Caenorhabditis elegans: one gene and its partner. The protein of the gene in region 1 purifies or fractionates together with the protein of each later gene. This does not show direct contact. Each region holds a gene or a part of one and is shown on either strand. Other genes may lie near its edges.

The links.
Region 2: the proteins of C56A3.5 (region 1) and Y73F4A.2 fractionate together in Caenorhabditis elegans (co-fractionation; one large-scale study listed by BioGRID). This does not show direct contact.

Annotation. Positions count from the first base shown.
Region 1 is NC_003283.11:13,543,747-13,553,873, reverse strand, and holds C56A3.5 (Leucine-rich repeat-containing protein), read right to left. Parts: upstream 1,908-10,127; 5' UTR 1,904-1,907; coding exon 1,780-1,903; intron 1,729-1,779; coding exon 1,583-1,728; intron 1,538-1,582; coding exon 1,149-1,537; intron 1,102-1,148; coding exon 745-1,101; intron 701-744; coding exon 580-700; 3' UTR 501-579; downstream 1-500. Other genes in the region: micu-3 (EF-hand domain-containing protein), read left to right, coding at 1-395; C56A3.4 (RING-type domain-containing protein), read left to right, coding at 2,167-2,487, 2,555-2,637, 2,691-2,756, 2,965-3,160.
Region 2 is NC_003282.8:9,039,371-9,048,743, forward strand, and holds Y73F4A.2 (DOMON domain-containing protein Y73F4A.2), read right to left. Parts: upstream 3,978-9,373; 5' UTR 3,941-3,977; coding exon 3,755-3,940; intron 3,681-3,754; coding exon 3,453-3,680; intron 3,398-3,452; coding exon 3,305-3,397; 3' UTR 3,017-3,304; downstream 1-3,016. Other genes in the region: Y73F4A.3 (DOMON domain-containing protein), read right to left, coding at 275-370, 428-637, 905-1,090; DOMON domain-containing protein Y73F4A.1, read right to left, coding at 4,713-4,778, 5,324-5,614, 5,733-5,924.

The DNA of each region.
Region 1 (10,127 bases):
ATGACTATCACAAATATCTTCAACGAGTGCAAGAGAAATCAGATGACGATGAGCCAGGCATCAGTCTTAGTCAATGGGCAACTTTCAGTCGTTTCCTGAATAATTTGGCTGAATTTCAAAGTGCTGTTCGTTTGTATGTGAACAGTAATGTACCAGTCTCGGAACCGGAATTTGCTCGAGCTGTTGGATGTACTATTGGAAAAGAATTGGATCCGGTCGTTGTTTCAATGATATTTCGAATCTTTGACGAGAACAATGATGGAACACTTTCCTATCCAGAGTTTTTGGCTGTAATGAGTGATCGACTCCATCGAGGGCTTCGAGGACGACTTGAAAAACCTTGGGGCTGGAAACCGTTTAAGAATTGCGTTATAAGTGAAGTATCCCGTGCCTAATATAATTTTAAAACTTTTTTAAACAAAAGTATTTTTATCCCCGTGCTTGCCTTGTAGATATGTCGCTATTTTTCTTGCCTGTGTGTAAATAAGAATTTTTCTTTTAAAACAACTCAATTTATTAGAAACAACAGGGAAACGGTAACAAAAACAAGTTGAACAATTCAAAAAAGAGGAAATATGTTCAGTCAGTGGGGCTTTCTGTGTACAGCTGACGAATACGGTTTTTATTGAATCCTCCAAAATCCATCGTAATTGCTGGATAGATGGGAACAATATCTTCCTCGCAAAGTCGGAGCAATTTTCTGAAAAATTAAAATTGAATTTCTAAACTCCAGAGCTTTATTACCCCATTGGAGGCATAGTAGATCGATCTACCATATACATATCCATGAGTTCTTTCATCGCTTTTTCATTATTTCCAGCAACAATAAGTGAGAAATTGGCCATTCCATCAGATAATCCTTTTGTAGCAAACTGGTGCAGTTGAACATCTTTAATACTTCCTTTCAGTGTCCTCGCAACTGATTCGATTGCGGTTTTAGTTTCTGGATTTGGTGTATATGCAACGACGGCAAGAGATCCTAGATTCAATTGCTTATTGACAAAGAGAAGCTGATCAAGAACTTTCTTGGTCCGTTCATCGAAGTTCAACTCTGGATCAACGACATTCCAATCCCAGATGAGTGTTTCAAGACGTGGAAATCTGGAAGATCACAAAATATTACAATTCTAAAAGCTTTGTAGACTTACGATTGGGGCAGAACTTCGAGAAGTTGCTCAGCGTCCGTTTCTCCCAGGAATTTCAGCTCTTGAACCGCTAGAACTTTCACTGTCACAAATTCGATTCCTTTTTTGAACTCATTAACATCAACTCCAGGATTTCCAGACAATTTCATTAATGATACATCGATGTGTTGTTGAACTTCACTCAAAATATTATCGGAAAGATCAATTCCGCGCAGATTAAGTTCTGACAATCGTTTCAAAATTGTTGCCCACTCCGGTGTGGAAAATTTTGTTTCAGAAAAAGAGAATGCAGCCAGTAAAGTGAATTTATCCATAAGTTTCAGTAAACTTTCCGATGTGATATCTGTCATATGAAGCGATAGGGCTTTTACTTTCTCGAAGAAATGGCTGATCTGAAACCAGTTTTGGTAAATTTACATAGTTTAAAATAATGATACCTGTTCATTATTATAATTTTTTTCAATCACTTTAACCAATTCGTCACAAGGATTTCTACCAAAGTCTACTTCAACAAGTGTTGGTCGTAATTTGAACATTGCATCCCATGTCACTTCTACCAATTCTCCAGGCTGATCTTTGAATCCTATAAAATTATATTATAAAAAATACTTTCCTAAAAACACAAAAAACTTACCATAAAGATTTTCGCCAAATTTAGAGGCATTTTTTATTCGGAGGATGGTTCCTGGCATACTTTCAACGTAACTTCCACGGCTGGCCATCCAAACTAGGACGTTATCTGGTCGAGTTGATGCCATTCTACTTTTTAAAAATGGTTTAATATTTTAAACAATATTTATTCAAAAATTATCTAAAATAAAACGTTGGAACTTCAATCACAAGAATAAGTTCGCGAAAAAAGACAAAAATAAAAGTTGTCCGAGAGGAGTACACGAGTTTTGGGTTTCCCAGCCATTTGTGTTTTTCTAGGCACTTTTTGGCTAATTTCGCAATTTTCTCGTGACATTTTCGAGTAAACTCAGTCAATTCACTTGTGAATCATCTGTAAAAATCCATAAAAATGTCCGAATTAGAACAAGAAGAACCGGATGATGCTCTTCAAGCATCCAGAACAGCATTTGACTACATTTTCAAGCTGTTCTATCCAGTTTACTATTTTGTGACGATTCCTGTTCGAATTACTAACTGGTTCTTCACAAATTTTCCTGTATTTTCATCCCTATCACTATTCCTGTTTATTGCTACTGTATTGATCACTTTGTACGTCTATAGGCGATTGTCATCAACACCACGTGAAAGCTTTATCAGTTATATTCTATACACTGTGGTTCCGTACGGAGTGTCCATCGTCTACACAGTTGTTGGTTTCATTTTCCCTCAAGTGAGTTAATAATATATATTTTCTTTTTTTTATTTAAAAATTTTAACTAAAGAAAACACATTTTCAGGTCCGAATTGTCACACGAATTATCGATGTTCTCCTGCATCCAATCAAATTTATTCTGGGATTCATCGAAAAAGTCGATAATCGGTAAGTTCCGAAACAATGTTTGCTACTGAATTTATTAATTTTAATATTTCCAGAGCTGCTCCAATTCGTCGCACAGTAGAAGCAATCCACGGACCAAAGCCACCAAAAGCAGGTGTAAAGTAGGTTTTTTTTTGAATTTTTGAACATGATCAAGTTGTTCGAATAGTAAAAATTATTTAAAAAATGTACCTGTGAAAATTAATGTGTTCTTATTCAAAAAATGTTATCAGTTTTTTTTTGTAATTTAACATTTTATATTACCATGTAATATCAAAAAGTTCATTATCAAAAAAAATTCAACCCACCTCTTCAATATGTCACTTTCAGATCGGTTGAAGATTCTATCAACGAAGCTCGACTTCAATGTTTCCTGTGTAAATTGACTGAGAAACGTGTTCTGCTCCGCCCATGCAATCATCTCTGCTTTTGTGAACCTTGCAATGATACCTTCCAGAAGCAGATACCTCTACTATGTCCAATATGCCACATGCATGTTCAGTCGTTTGAAATTGTACATTTCTGATTATCATATCCATTTACACATTTCTGTATATTTTAAATCAAAACATCCATTTTCCAACCTGCCTACCTTTTAAAATCCCCATGATTCTCCATTACCAGTTTTCATTGATGCGTGTACGACTTTTCCCTATCTGACAATTCTGTTAAATATTGATCTAAAAATTAGAAACTCTATTAGCTAATAAATCTTGAGTCAATTCGTGTGTTTGACAAGCCATGCATGGTCGGTGATGATTTACGTCAAAACTATGCCTGAACTAGACAAGCGTAATCGCGACATTATCTAGCAAAATGAATGTTCTGAAACTACAATTCAAACAATTTTTGAGAAAAAAACCATTTTATTACTTTTACGACGTTTGCGCTAAAACACAGTTCCCGGTCTCGACACGACAATTTTTTTGTTAAATACAAGAAGGTATGCGCCTTGAAAGAGTACTGTAATTACAAACTCGTGGCTGCAGAACTTTTATCGACTATTCGCGACTATTTACACGTGGTGTACACCATGGTGTCAGAATGCCCCATGTCGGTTTGATCTTCAAAAAATGCGGGAGGTGAGACGCAGACATCTCAACTGATTTCGCATGGTTTCGAGCGTGCTGACGAAATCTGGGAAAAAAAATTCCCGCATTTTTTGTAGATCAAACCGTTATGTGACAGCCTGTGCGACTACTCATTGTTTTCCGATAAACAATTATATATTTATTCAGAAACTCAATAAAGACTAAGTTTTCAAAATAAATCGAGGGAAAAATGAATGAAAATTCCGCAGAAACGAGAATTTGAAAGTACTTTATTTTTAAAGGTGCACATCTTTTCGCATTCAACAAAAAATTTTGTACTGTATTTGAGTCACAAAAAAATCACAAAATTTCGCGTCTGGATAATAGCGTTCGGATCTCTGCTCTGCCGTTCCCCTCATCGATGATCCACTGCTCAATTCGTTTCACATCCCATTCGTCCCCGCATAATGACGTGGCTTCTTCTTTTTTCCATTCCCCCAGTCTCATTCCGTTCGCTCAAGTGTTTTTTGCTTCCAGCTCTCCCCGCACAAAAAAAGTTGGGCGGTCTATTCTCTTACTCTTGAACCATGTTTCATGCTTCTTCTCGCCCCACTTATCGACTCGAAGTCCCCACGCCGGTCGGTTCCCAATGGACCGATTAACATATGATCGCGTGTTCGGTCTCTCCTTCATTTTCTCCTGTTATGGCTCTGCTTTTCTTCTTCGACACTTACTTCATACATACTTCACTTTGTTCCAGTCCGTACACACTTTTTTTTCTCTTTTAGAAATACACGACTAACATCATCAGGAGACGGATTAGTTTCTCTCCCATGAAATTGAGATGACGCTGTTAATTTCTTGTTCATTTTTCCTACTATCTTAGTACACTAGACTTTTTGACTTTATTTTCTTGTTTTGAAACTTAATTTGGCTCAAAATTCAGTTACCGTATTTTATATGTACCTTGAACCATGATTAAAGTGGGGTATTATAATTATAAACACAAATCCTACATGACTGAGCAATATATGTAATAGACTCTGACTGTTAGATTTAAAAAATTGTTAGCTAAAGTTTTGATAAATTGCCAAGTTTTTCAAAAATGCGATTTTTTTCGAGTAATCTCGAGTATTGCTTCGAATTTTTAGAATGTTAAAATACGAACAACTGCAACGAAACTGAAATATAAAATTTGCAGAAAATTTTGAATGCACATAAAAAATTACAAAAAAGTTTGATAAAGTTTTACTATGATATTTGGGCATTATTAGCACTATAGGAGCGATTTGAAACAATTTTCCTACTAGCGATATCTTCAAGAGGAAAATTGAAACGAATGTAAACATTTAGAAAGTTATGAAAAATATACTGTAAGTTGAACATTTTTCACTATCATTTTCAGTTGTTTAAAGTTTTACTCACTCATATGCTCATTTCTTCACACATTTTCACTTATTTTGGAAGTATTTCTAATTTTAAAAAAAAAATTCTTAAATTAGAAACTATATGTTCACTTTTACAGACGGAGCTCCATGTAACAAGTAAACCTTTCAAAAAATTATACGACAAGTGTATATAATGGAAATTTATATGATTTATAGATTTATATGATGTACCTGACGAGCCATGTTTCTGTGAGCTCCAAGATGCTCACTACATCTCAAAAATTGAAAAAGTTGCATTATTTTTAGTGACTTAATTACTGCGGTAATTCCATGCTACAGCGTGATTCAAAAAATTTGAATTTTCCTAATGAGACCCACTTTTGTGAATTTTCCCCTTTTTTAGAATTCTAGAAGTCCAAAACACAAGTATCTTCGTATAAATTGATCTACAAGGACTTCAATATAAACTTTCATTTCTCAATTTACTTGATAAGTGCTCACGCAATATGGAACGTATGATGTTGTTACCATGTCAATCAAAACATAAATAAGTCCCATCTAGCCGTCGTTTCCTTTTCCTTCTGAGAAATAATAAATGTTGGTGAATACTAGAAAGTACCTTTTTTCACATATATTTTTCAATTCACAAGAAACCCCCTCATTCCTTTTTCTTTCACTTTAATCGCAAATTGTCGCAATATGTCTGTCATCTTTGTGGTACGTCAGGCGTAAAAAATGAAAGAGCCTTTCGTTCGGATCATCATAAATTTTCAGAAAAAAGGATAGGATTAAAAAGGGGAATTCAGAAATTTACTTTCAAAAAATAGTTTGTCAATTCCGCCTTTTCTTTATGTTTCATAATAGTTTCAAAAATGAGCTTTTTATTTGAAATAGAACATTTACGAAAGTGGTTTGTGTTGGTTTCTAAGAGAAGGCAAAATGGATTAACATAAAAAGTTGTGAAATGACTTTTCTCAAAAAATGGGAAAAAAGAATCCAGACAGACTCTGGTCTTTCTTCTGTTATTCCAGCTATTTAAAAACGGTGTTAGATCAAATAAAATTGAATATTAGATAAATGAAATTATTATTTTAATATTGCGAACCCGCAGAATACATTCAGATATCTAGAACTAGGGAAACAAACGCCGCATTTCATTTGGTTCAAAATTTGAAAAAACGTATTTTGAGGTTGTGTATTTTTTCAGGTCTTGAGTGTACTCAACAAAGCTTTACCAGAATCTGAAATTTAAAATACAAATTCTTGGATTAAAAAAATACCAGGTTAGAAATTATCCATAACTTGAGTTAAAGTTAATTTCTAAATTTAAATTCTAAAATTTTCGATTATACATACATAACTTAAAATCAGCTGAAAATGAATCACAACTTTTCATATCAGTTCACATTTCCAACATTTATTGGTTTATGCCTTACTAAACTCTTGTTAAGAACTACTTTCATTTTCATATTGTATTTTTTCCATATTTAAAACTTGAGTTCCAACTATTTCATAAATGTAACATTTCGATCTCCAAATGAATCTCTTTCAAAGAATCTTCGCCTAATTAATCCACAACCCTCCCCCACATTTTTCGTTTCTTCAAATTTGCCGACTTCTTCATTACTTCGTATTATGAGTTGGAGCTTTTTTCAAAAAAAAGTTAAAAAATGAAGTGCACTCTTCGTAAAGCGTAATTTTTAATATCACTCTCTCTACTACACAGCAAGAAAAAGTTGAACACTCAATGTGTATTATCACTTTGCTCCACTATTTTTGATAGACTTTCCAGTTTTTTATCTTTTCCAGAATTTCCGTTGCTTTGCAATTCTCTTTGATGACGTCAAGTTTGGCTTCAAATTTAATTCTGAGCTTTGTCCTAACTTCTGACGCATTCTATTTTATTTACCGTAATCATAGAGACCCGCTCGACTGCGATCATGGACGCTATCCCAAAAACTAACTTAAAATGAATACCAATTTGAATTGGTGGATAGATTAAGTGGAAAAAAGAGAAAAGGCAAAATGAGAAGAAGGCATCGAAAATAAGATAAATTGAACTCTCTTTTTCCTCGGCTTTCACCAACTTCCATCACCACTTACTTATGTTTGTTTTTCGTTTAGGAAAATGAAGACGTAAGAATATCTTGGGTAATACATATTTACGTTTTATTTTTAGAATCTTTTATGCTAGCTCTCGAGTTCTTTCAAAGAATAAGTTGTTTACGATTTTGTAGTTTTGCACTTGGTGAATCTTTAACCTGACTATGATCCGACCGCATTACCATGAATTTTGAATTGTTCATGACGTTGTATTCAAACGTTGTTTTCAAAGAACTTTGTTTTCAGTATTCATTTAACTTTTTGAAGTTTTTTGAAAATAGTTGTTTTTGAATTTTTTCGTTAACAAATTATTCTCTGTTTTCATTAGCTGCAGGAGAGCTCTAGAGCAGTTTAAACTTGACAAAAACTTGTTCTGACTTGGTTTAGAACGCGCTCAAGTACCCAAGTCTGGCCGAACACTTGCCAATATCATTTGTCCCAAAATTAAAATGACACAAGGAAAACAGTCAAAGCATGAGTTGGATCAAACTTGGGCTAAACATAGGCCTGGGCTAAACCAAGTCTTTTTAACTGTTACTGAAGGTTAGCCAACTTCAGAACCAAGTTAATATTTTTGAACCAAACTTGAACACAACGTTGGCAGTGATGCCGAGAAGGGTAGAAAAATAAGCTAGAAACTTTTTGGGAATCTTTTTTGACACCAATATGAATCTTTTTCACTCGATCAAAATAAATCTTGAAAGCTCTTCAAATTCAACAAGGTATCACAACATCGAAATTAGATGCGGAAGAAATTATCTCTAGGGAAACTGTATAAATATCGATTTTGGTGAAATTGCCTGAAACTTTTTCAGATCAACTTCATTCTAGTTCAAATTTTTACTCTGAAGTTAACAATCTCAACCGAATAAATTTTTGTTGACAGGATATTAAGAAAGAAAACTAAATCGTACTTCTTTTCTTAGAAAATACCAATTTCCAGCTTATCGTAAAATGTTCCAGTTTTTTTAGAAAACACTTAAAGAAAGAAAAGCTTACGTCTAGATGCTCAAAAACAAAATTGTCGGATCTATTCAATAGCAAAAGATAATTGACTAAACTCAGGAAATAAAAAGTCTTCGATGAAATGTGAAAATGTGAAAATATGTTTTCAAATGTTGAAATAATTCTGAACATTTTGAAGAAATCTTCAAAATGCAAAGACCCACGAACTTTTACTTTTATGAATCATAATCGAGAATTCAAATATAATAAAAAGCAACCACAAAGTTCAGACCATATGGCAAAGAACATTTTCAAGATTTCCTAGCCAAACAATTGGTAACAAATGTATCGCCCATTTTACTTTTGCAACTTTCAAACTCTTAGATGCTTTATAAAGTTTTATAGCATCTTCAATAGTTTTTTTTGAAATTATGAGTTTCTGAAGTTTTACAGTGAAAGCTATTTTAAATATTTTTGTTTCAATTTCCTTTTTTTCAAAAAAAAGTTGATATTTGAATAAAACATCCTCAATTTTCTTTCAATAAAACTGCCAAAATGATTTTTAAAACTTTTTCCGAGGCGTCAGGGGGGCTCATCTTGCCTTCTTACAGGCCCTCCTTGAGTCGCGCACTCCAAAATATCCAGTCTAAAAATGTTTTTCTTCATCAAAAAATCTTTTATATAAAACCTAAAACTATTTTGAACATGTCATGTATCCAGTTTATAGTTTCGCCAGATGTTTGACCTCACTTGCTCTCTTTCAAAAATTTTCTTTATTTTCCGCCAATCTATTGCTTCAATCTTTTTCTATTCAGCTCAACACACCTTCTAACCACCTTATTTGTTCCATACATTTTCCTCATTCCAACCCGAATCACGTTTTCCAAATAAGATACGACATTTACTTAAGAATGGTAATTCACAAGAACGAAAGGAAAACCAGAAATCCTCCAAGAAATCCGATCTCAATATCATAGTTTTTTTAAAGTTTAAGGTTACAAACATGAATAGGCAGGAAATTGGATATCAAATGTCTTTTATTATTATTGGTTTCTGGAATGAATATACTAGTTGATCAGATAATCTTGTTACTTTTATAGATATTTTCCATCTTGGCTTGTGACGTGAAAATTTCAAGATTTACTCGTTTTATGGCTGGAATTTCGAATTGATTGGAAACCAGTCTTAAACAAGATCCGGCAGTTGAATAATTCAATGAATCAGTTTTGTTGTGCTTTCAGTCAAGAATGCTTATTTTTGTTCAATGAGATTAGCCAGTGGTGTCAAAATTCAAGAAAATTCCTCTTTCTTGTTTTTCGTTCAATTTTCAAGTTTGTTGTATGTATTTCTGTACTTTCCAATTTTTAAAAATTATCTCTAAACGCTAATTTTTGAACATTCTTTTAAAAAAAGCATTGAAAAAATGAAGATGACAAAGTTTATTAACGACATGTATAAATAAACTCCAAAAAAACTTTTGCAAAGAATAAATTCCAAGAAGCTCTTTCAAAGGCTCCCATGGTCAACTAAAAACACTTGATCAGTATTTATTCGTTTTGAAAAACTTGCCGCGTTTTCATTATAAAACTTCATAACTAAAAATACTATTAAAAAGCAAGTTTGAAACCGGTTCGTTAACTATCTATCAAATAATTAATTTTCTAGAAAAATTTATGTTTCATTTTTTATTCCTCATAAAATCCTTTCAGTACGCAAAATTGAACAATTAATCACCCGATTCTTCTGCTTCATATAACTTCCACTTGAAATCATCACAAGCTTCTTTTCTCGTATTACGAGGTCAACCTGAGTCATCATATCAAAATCTCCAATCTTGTATTTATTATTTCCGCTCTTGATTAATTCTATGTTCAGCCACTTTTAAGACGTGGCGTCTCCCAGCTTCTTATTGAAAACACTGAATTTAGAGGAACTATCCTTCTCATAAATACTATTTTAAACCTTGTTTGCAAAACTATCAAACAAAAGTTCAATATTCAGAATATCAAAAAACTTCCCAAAGGTT
Region 2 (9,373 bases), on another chromosome or scaffold:
ATATGACGCCAGTTGATACTTTGAACCTCAAGTATGAACAGGTGTTCATGTGTCTAGCCTATTTTTTTTTTTCTGAAAATACAAGTTTTTAACTTCAAGGAAATTCTATACATAGAACTTTTCTCTGAATGTTTTTGAGCTACTGAAAAAAATATATACAAGTTTCAGTTTGTAATTTGTCACTATTCAACTTTAGCGAAATTTAAACAAATGCAATTTCATTTTAATGAACAATATCAAATCGATCAAATTTAGAATTTAAAAAATACAATTTTTATCTGCACTGTGACGCACAAACATTATTGACTTGATCTGGTCTCGATGTATGTACACCCATATTTCCGTTGTTGATTGGACCGCTTTGTACAAACTGAAAAATCATTGATTGAATTAAATACGAGATTATTTTTTTAATATTCGAACTTACATTCCAAGTCTGACAATTTTGAATATTCATTCCATTAAAGTTTAATGGGACATTGACAAGAGCATTGAGTGTTGATCCAGAATGATTTGCCATTTGAACACTAACACTGCTTTGATTATCAAAAGATGGTGGACCATATCCAGATGTTCTTCCGGTACGTACAGTCACTTGACTATTTTGGACTATGAATACGATTACGTTCAGGTTTGACTGAAATATTTTATTTTTGAACATGATCATGAATTTTAAATTCGTCTAAGCTGGCGATATCTTTCCCACATTTTTTTTTCAAAATTTGTCAAGCCAAACTTCAATAATAGCGAAAATCAAAATAATATTTTTAATAATATAATTTTTAGATATTCAAAAAAGTACCTCAAAGTTAGACTTAACATTAAAATTGTGATTCGTCCTTGTATGTTATTCAAAACTAAGAATTAATTTTTCAGTAAACTATTTTAATTGTTTGTAACCAACCATTCCGGGTCCAAATCCAATTGCAGTCCATTGATTATTGGTAATTCTATTATTTTGATATTGAATTTGCAATGCCCCATTTTGAATTTTCCAATTGGCCTTCACTGCGGATTTTGAAAACTTGCAAGTCTGTGAAGCCACAGTTCCAATTGAAATGAGCAGTAGAATAATCGTTTGAGATAGCATTCTTTTGATTTCTTCAAATTTCAAATAGTTTTCAAATAATTTTTGTCTCCTGCTATTTAAACCAATTCTGCGATATTGACATTTCGAGTTATTTAGGTGGGTGTCTCATCGGTCGAGGAAAACATAAGTTTTTGTTAGTAGGTGACGATTGGTAAACATTTGAATGAAATTTTGAAGAGAGTGATAATGAATTGAAGAGAATATGAGAAAAAGACGTGGCAAATATTTGGAAAATTCGTAAATTTTTAACCGATTGGCAAACTTCAGAGAGCATAGACTATATTAACGAAAATGTCTGCAAAAACAACTTGTTGAACACCGCGACACTTTTCTTTTCTCAAAAATAGTTAAAAAATTATCTAGGAAATTGGATGCATATGGTCACTTTTTAGCTATTATTTAAGTGATTGTTTTTTAATGCAGTGGGGCTTTTTTTGTATATTTTTTTTCTGAAACTCTCCGAATCACGGGACTCAAAATATGCCCAAAAAAAACTCGCATCCCTGTAAAAACCAAACTCTCATCCCTCAAGCGTTAAAATTACCGGCCACCTGCTTGTGATTGAAAAAATGTCCATATGTAGTGTTCGATAAATAGTATTTGAAATTTTTAAATTATATCATTTGCCTTTCTTAGCAATCGGGGACGTTATATACAATGCCATGCTGATTGTAAACTTAAATTTCAAATGCATTCTTTTAGACTTTGGAATACTGCTACAACATGCGCGTAGCCAGGGTTTAACCTCTGGAAAACGCGACAACATCATTTTCGGCACTCACAAGGGATACTCGGACTAAATGTGCCTCTTAACTTTAAAATTATGACTCTTAACTTTAAAATTATTAACTCTTAACTTTAAAATTATGACTCTTAACTTTAAAATTATTAACTCTTAACTTTAAAATTATGACGACACCTCTAATGGGGTTATTCAAGTAATGTTGCAAAATGTATTAAAATACATTTATGACGTCACAACTGTATTAAAACACATATTTTTACGTGTTTTATTACAGTTATGACCTAATTTTTCTACACTTTTTAATTTTCCGACACTACTTGAATAACCCCATAAATGAAAACTAATTTTTATTTAGTATATGAAGGCACACTGTTTAAAAATATAATTCAGTGTGAAGGTAATATTTTTTACAACGCTTTTATTGTTGTTTCCTTATTATATACTATCTGAAATTTAGTACATTGAATCATCAACTATTTATTATCAACGAATAATCATCAACAACATGCAGAAATCAGTGTATATGTATGTACTTGCAATAATTTCAGCAATACAGTTTTATTACCCATATTAAAAAAACAACCAATAGAGCAAAATGAAAAGATCACGTAAAAAAAATTAGCTCATATTTAGTAGGTAACTATTCGAAATTAAAGTATGTATTTTATTCAATTTTCAAAAAGGATATTACATAAACTCTTCTCTTGATACATTCAAACTAGACATTTCACATGGGTTGAGGCGTACAACGGACGCCTCGTGACCGGCTCGCTTTCTAGTGTGATATTTTAGAATTTAATATAATTTAATTTATTACGCTCTCTTGCAGACATGACGAAGACAAAAAAATGCGGTGCTCACATTTGTTTAAATTTTCAAATATGTATATATTGTTGTGATTTCTACAATTTAATTTTCAGTTTACACTCTTTCGAAGGTGTTTTCTAGCCAAGTAGGATAGGATTGTTGAGCGAAATACCAAATGGAATTTATAATCCAAACAATTGAAAGCAAATACAGTTGTAGATTATTTCATTCACTTTATGGCACTCTGAAACGAATGAATAAATAATGTAGCCCCTATTAAAACACACACACACCGATTTTTTTATTAATTTTTTATTAATATTTTTATTTGTTCTAGTGAACCTTTCCGCCATCAGTTCTTAAGTTTTTTACGAAGTTGTCAAACACAGTTTTTTCTTGTTCAAACAAAACGAATGGCACAATTGTGACAATAACAAAGTGTATTTGATTTTGACGGGTTACGGTAGCCACGCTGACAATGTTCACGTTTGTTCGTTGATTTCTAGTCGAACCGTTTATTGGTCGAAGTTATCGTTTTTAAATTGAAATTCAATTATTTTTGAAACAGTGAGAGAAAAAAGATGATCCCGATATGAGAAAAACAATTATTTACATGGTCAAATTGAAACATGATTATTCATGAATAAGTAAAAGGGCGGAGCTTAATTGCATTCCATTGGGCACACTTTCTTCTCCTTTGGCGACTTATCGTTACGGGTGAGTTGTCCGTTTTCGATTTTGCCAGACTTGACGAACTGAAAAAATTTTACATTTGAAGAACTTTTAGTAAAGCTACAAAAAATGCCTTACCCTCCATTTTTGGCACGATTGAAGGCTTCTTCCATTGAATTGAATTGGAATTTGAACGACAGCACTCATTGTCTTATCCTCTGGGAAATAGTTTAGTGCTTGAGTGGATACTGAAGCAGTGTTTGTTCCAGATTGAGTGAAAGTTGGTGGTCCGTGTTGAGTGGTTGATCCTGTACGGACAGTAACTTGATTGTTGGACACCATGAAGAAGACTCCGACAAAGTTGTTCTGGAATGTGAATTTGTTCAAATTTATTTTGGATATCTAGGATAAACTGCATTAGATGTTGTCAATTTTCTTACCTTATCATCTCCAAACCCAACTCCAGTCCATTCGTTATTTTTAATATCAGTGTTCATGAATTGCATATTAATCGAATTATTAGCGAATCGCCAGTAAACTTCAAAATCGGAACTGTCGTATTTGCATGTTTTGGCGGATGCAAAGGCAAAAAGAAGAGCCGAAAGAACAGCAATGGATCGGAACATTTTTCGAATGTGAGAGTTTCAAATGGATGTACTGTCTGTTTCAACTCATCATGTGCTCCCTTTTATACTCGGTCATCACAGTGTTTACCATCGTGGTTTTTGTGTATCTGGGTACGAGAGTTTGTAGTCCAACAATGTGCCAAGTGTATGTGTGTGTCTACTTGCTCTGGTATTTTCGGTGGCAAACTTTAAGATGTAAAAGAAAATAGAAAAAAAAGTTACACATGGTTTTGTAGGGGAAACGCTTGAGAAAGGATTTACAAATAATCCATGGCAATCAGTTAATCAAATATATTTCAAGAAGCTCATCAGTAGTATTATCTTTGACCCTCCTTATCTACTTTTAGTACAGCATGTTTGTACCGATATGGATGGTTTGGTGATCTCAATTTTTGCCGTCTTCTTTTGTTCTGATTCAAAATAGAGTCTGAATTAATGTTTAAACTACGATTTCTCGCTAGAAAATCAATCAAAAACTTTCCGTAAAACTATACATTGAATTATTTTATTCCCTTTCAAAAAATTTATTACTTGTAAATATTTTTGAACCACGTGAAACTTTTAATTAAAAAAAACAGTGTTTCTTCCTACTGAAAACTGTGTTTATTGCTATAGGGGTTCAAGTTTCCATAATATTTGGCATAGGTGTTTGAGCTCTACAGACAAAGCTTTTAAAGCAAAACTCGGCTCATAAAATTTATTAATGGTTTTGATTTGACAGTTAATTAACAATTTAATTAATGAATTCAATGTGAAAATGTTAGTAATGTTTTTATAGTGCTTTATTTGAATTGATTCTTTGGATCCTTTCAGCAGTACATTTTGCAGCACAGACGTCCTGTAATAAATATTTCATGAAAAAATTTGAGATACGAAGCAAATTACCAAGGATTTCGACATTACTCTTTTCCAGTTCAATCAAACAAAGGAACAGATATTTGTTTCGGAAAAACCAACTGCGAACGAGGAACGAGGGAAAAGTAATAAGAAGTGATTTTTGAGAGAACAATAACGTTTTCTTTAGGAATTAGCAAAATTCATAAAATCAGAATTGAATGTTGTTGGAACGTAAGATTAGAAAGTTCTACTACTTCTTCAAACATGCTCAAGGTTTATAGGGACCACAACAATTCTAGTGAGTGACGGATTTTGCAGGTTCACATGTATTTATAAGGCCCTCTCAGCACTCATCCGTTTTAATATTTATGAGTTTTCACGCTCTTATTTTTTGAGGAAAACGAAAAATAAGTGTTCCGTCAAAACACGGAAAAAAGGAAAATCCGCAGCTTTAATTTGGTTGACATAGCGGCCAATTGATGACGAATTTCAGAAAAAAGTAAGTTATGTACAACATTAAATCTTCTCGAAATATTCTCCACCAACCTTGATGAAAAAAATTTTGCCATGATGTTTCTTGAATTTTCCGTTGCTTAAGCTTCCTCCCGGTACAACCATCCAATTCAAACACTGATCCAATGAGAAGTTTCTTGGACCAGCTGGACCCAAAGGTCGGCTCACTGTAACTTTCAGCTTGTTCCCGGTGATTTGGACATCATTAACTGTCACATAAGAAACATCATCCACCACGACTTTCTTCTTTTTTGGTGTATATCCAGAATTTGTTGTTATCACATTGTCTTCTCTACGGGAAAATATAATCGATTCCAGGTTGTTCTGGAGGAAGTTTATTAACGTTGTTTGGGGATAATATAATGAACTTCTCTGTATTATTCTGACTTTTTAAAAAAAAAATACACTGAATTTATTTTTAATAAAATTGAGTACAACTAACCATTCCAGGTCCATCTCCAAAAGCTATCGAAGTCCATCTATTTTCAGTTAGATTATTGTGCTCGAAATGAATTTGAATTTTATTGTTTTTAACATTCCAGTTCATCGAAACAAGTTCATTTTTGAAATCACAAGTGACAGAAGAAGAAGATGGAATAAAAACGAATGCAAATACTATTGCCAAAACGAACATTTTGTAATGAAGAAAGAAAATGACAGACGTCAATTTATAGGTCAACGGAATCGTCTACAGAAAGTTTGCACGGAAAGAAAGCTAAACAAATTTTGATAAACAAATGATGAGATATTGCCAGTTTTTGCAGATTGAATGTTTAGAAACTTGATATTTCTCTTCAAATAGTCATATACCTATTTTGTTTGTGTGTCCAGAATGCAAAGAACGCCAACATTTGAAAATTAGAGTTAGTTTTGAAAATGCGGCACAATTTTTTACAAGAACTAATGAGATGAACTTGTTTGTGTGTCCAGAAATAACAAAAATGATGTCATATATATGCCTGAAATTCAGTTTTTTTGATTGAACTGGAAGCTTCTGGCACCTAGAAAAATTTTGTAATTAAATTCTGAAAGCGCTTAAAATTTGAAACAAGTCCCCGAAGAAACATTTTCAAGAGAGTAAAATATTCTGTGAAGCCAAAAAGTAAAATATACTGTGAAGCCAGATAGTAAAATATACTGTGAAGCCAGAGAGTAAAATATACTGTGAAGCTAGAGAGTAAATTATACTGTGAAGCTAGAGAGTAAATTATACTGTGAAGCCAGAGAGTAAAATATACTGTGAAGCCAGAGAGTAAATTATTCTGCGAAGCCAGAGAGTAAATTATTCTGTGAAGCAAGAGAGTAAATTATACTGTGAAGCCAGAGAGTACAATATAATGTGAAGCCAGAGAGTAAATTATTCTGTGAAGCCAGAGAGTAAATTATTCTGCGAAGCCAGAGAGTAAATTATTCTGTGAAGCAAGAGAGTAAATTATTCTGTGAAGCCAGAGAGTAAATTATACTGTGAAGCCAGAGAGTAAAATATACTGTGAAGCTAGAGAGTAAATTATTCTGCGAAGCCAGAGAGTAAATTATTCTGCGAAGCCAGAGAGTAAAATATACTGTGAAGCCAGAGAGTAAATTATTCTGTGAAGCAAGAGAGTAAATTATTCTGTGAAGCCAGAGAGTGAATTATACTGTGAAGCCAGATAGTAAAATATTCTGTGAAGCCAGAGAGTAAAATATACTGTGAAGCCAGAGAGTAAATTATTCTGCGAAGCCAGAGAGTAAATTATTCTGTGAAGCCAGAGAGTAAATTATTCTGCGAAGCCAGAGAGTAAATTATTCTGTGAAGCCAGAGAGTAAATTATTCTGTGAAGCCAGATGAGTAAATTATTCTGTGAAGCCAGAGAGTAAATCATTCTGTGAAGCCAGAGAGTAAATTATTCTGTGAAGCTAGAGAGTAAATTATTCTGTGAAGCCAGAGAGTAAATTATTCTGTGAAGCCAGAGAGTAAATTATTCTGTGAAGCCAGAGAGTAAAATATACTGTGAAGCTAGAGAGTAAATTATTCTGCGAAGCCAGAGAGTAAATTATTCTGCGAAGCCAGAGAGTAAAATATACTGTGAAGCCAGAGAGTAAATTATTCTGTGAAGCAAGAGAGTAAATTATTCTGTGAAGCCAGAGAGTGAATTATACTGTGAAGCCAGATAGTAAAATATTCTGTGAAGCCAGAGAGTAAAATATACTGTGAAGCCAGAGAGTAAATTATTCTGTGAAGCCAGAGAGTAAATTATTCTGCGAAGCCAGAGAGTAAATTATTCTGTGAAGCCAGAGAGTAAAATCTACTGTGAAGCCAGTGAGTAAAATATGGTGGGAAGCCACAGAGAGTAAATAATAGTAGGAAGCCACAGAGAGTAAAATATGGTGGGAAGCCACAGAGAGTAAATAATAGTGGGAAGCCACAGAGAGTAAATAATAGTGGGAAGCCACAGAGAGTAAAATATGGTGGGAAGCCACAGAGAGTAAATAATAGTAGGAAGCCACAGAGAGTAAAATATGGTGGGAAGTCACAGAGAGTAAATAATAGTGGGAAGCCACAGAGAGTAAAATATGGTGGGAAGCCACAGAGAGTAAATAATAGTGGGAAGCCACAGAGAGTAAATAATAGTGGGAAGCCACAGAGAGTAAAATATGGTGGGAAGCCACAGAGAGTAAATAATAGTGGGAAGCCACAGAGAGTAAATAATAGTAGGAAGCCACAGAGAGTAAAATATGGTGGGAAGCCACAGAGAGTAAATAATAGTGGGAAGCCACAGAGAGTAAATAATAGTGGGAAGCCACAGAGAGTAAATAATAGTGGGAAGCCACAGAGAGTAAATAATAGTGGGAAGCCACAGAGAGTAAAATATGGTGGGAAGCCACAGAGAGTAAAATATGGTGGGAAGCCACAGAGAGTAAATAATAGTAGGAAGCCACAGAGAGTAAAATATGGTGGGAAGTCACAGAGAATAAATAATAGTGGGAAGCCACAGAGAGTAAAATATGGTGGGAAGCCACAGAGAGTAAATAATAGTGGGAAGCCACAGAGAGTAAATTATGGTGGGAAGCCACAGAGAGTAAATAATAGTGGGAAGCCACAGAGAGTAAATAATAGTGGGAAGCCACAGAGAGTAAATAATAGTGGGAAGCCACAGAGTAAATTATTCTGCGAAGCCAGAGAGTAAATTATTCTGTGAAGCCAGAGAGTAAATTATTCTGTGAAGCCAGAGAGTAAATTATTCTGTGAAGCCAGAGAGTAAAATCTACTGTGAAGCCAGAGAGTAAATTATTCTGTGAAGCCAGAGAGTAAATTATTCTGCGAAGCCAGAGAGTAAATTATACTGTGAAGCCAGAGAGTAAATTATTCTGCGAAGCCAGAGAGTAAATTATTCTGTGAAGCCAGAGAGTAAATTATTCTGCGAAGCCAGAGAGTAAATTATTCTGTGAAGCCAGATGAGTAAATTATTCTGTGAAGGCAGAGAGTAAAATATACTGTGAAGCCAGAGAGAGTAAAATATGGTGGGAAGCCACAGAGAGTAAATAATAGTGGGAAGCCACAGAGAGTAAATAATAGTGGGAAGCCACAGAGAGTAAATAATAGTGGGAAGCCACAGAGAGTAAATAATAGTGGGAAGCCACAGAGAGTAAATAGTAGTGGGAAGCCAAAGAGAGTAAATAATAGTAGGAAGCCACAGAGAGTAAAATATGGTGGGAAGCCACAGAGAGTAAATAATAGTGGGAAGCCACAGAGAGTAAAATATGGTGGGAAGCCACAGAGAGTAAATAATAGTGGGAAGCCACAGAGAGTAAATAATAGTGGGAAGCCACAGAGAGTAAAATATGGTGGGAAGCCACAGAGAGTAAATAATAGTGGGAAGCCACAGAGAGTAAAATATGGTGGGAAGCCACAGAGAGTAAAATATGGTGGGAAGCCACAGAGAGTAAAATATGGTGGGAAGCCACAGAGAGTAAATAATAGTGGGAAGCCACAGAGAGTAAATAATAGTGGGAAGCCACAGAGAGTAAAATATAGTGGGAAGCCACAGAGAGTTACATTGTAAGGATTTCCCACTATGTCGATACATTGTAAGGATTTCATAC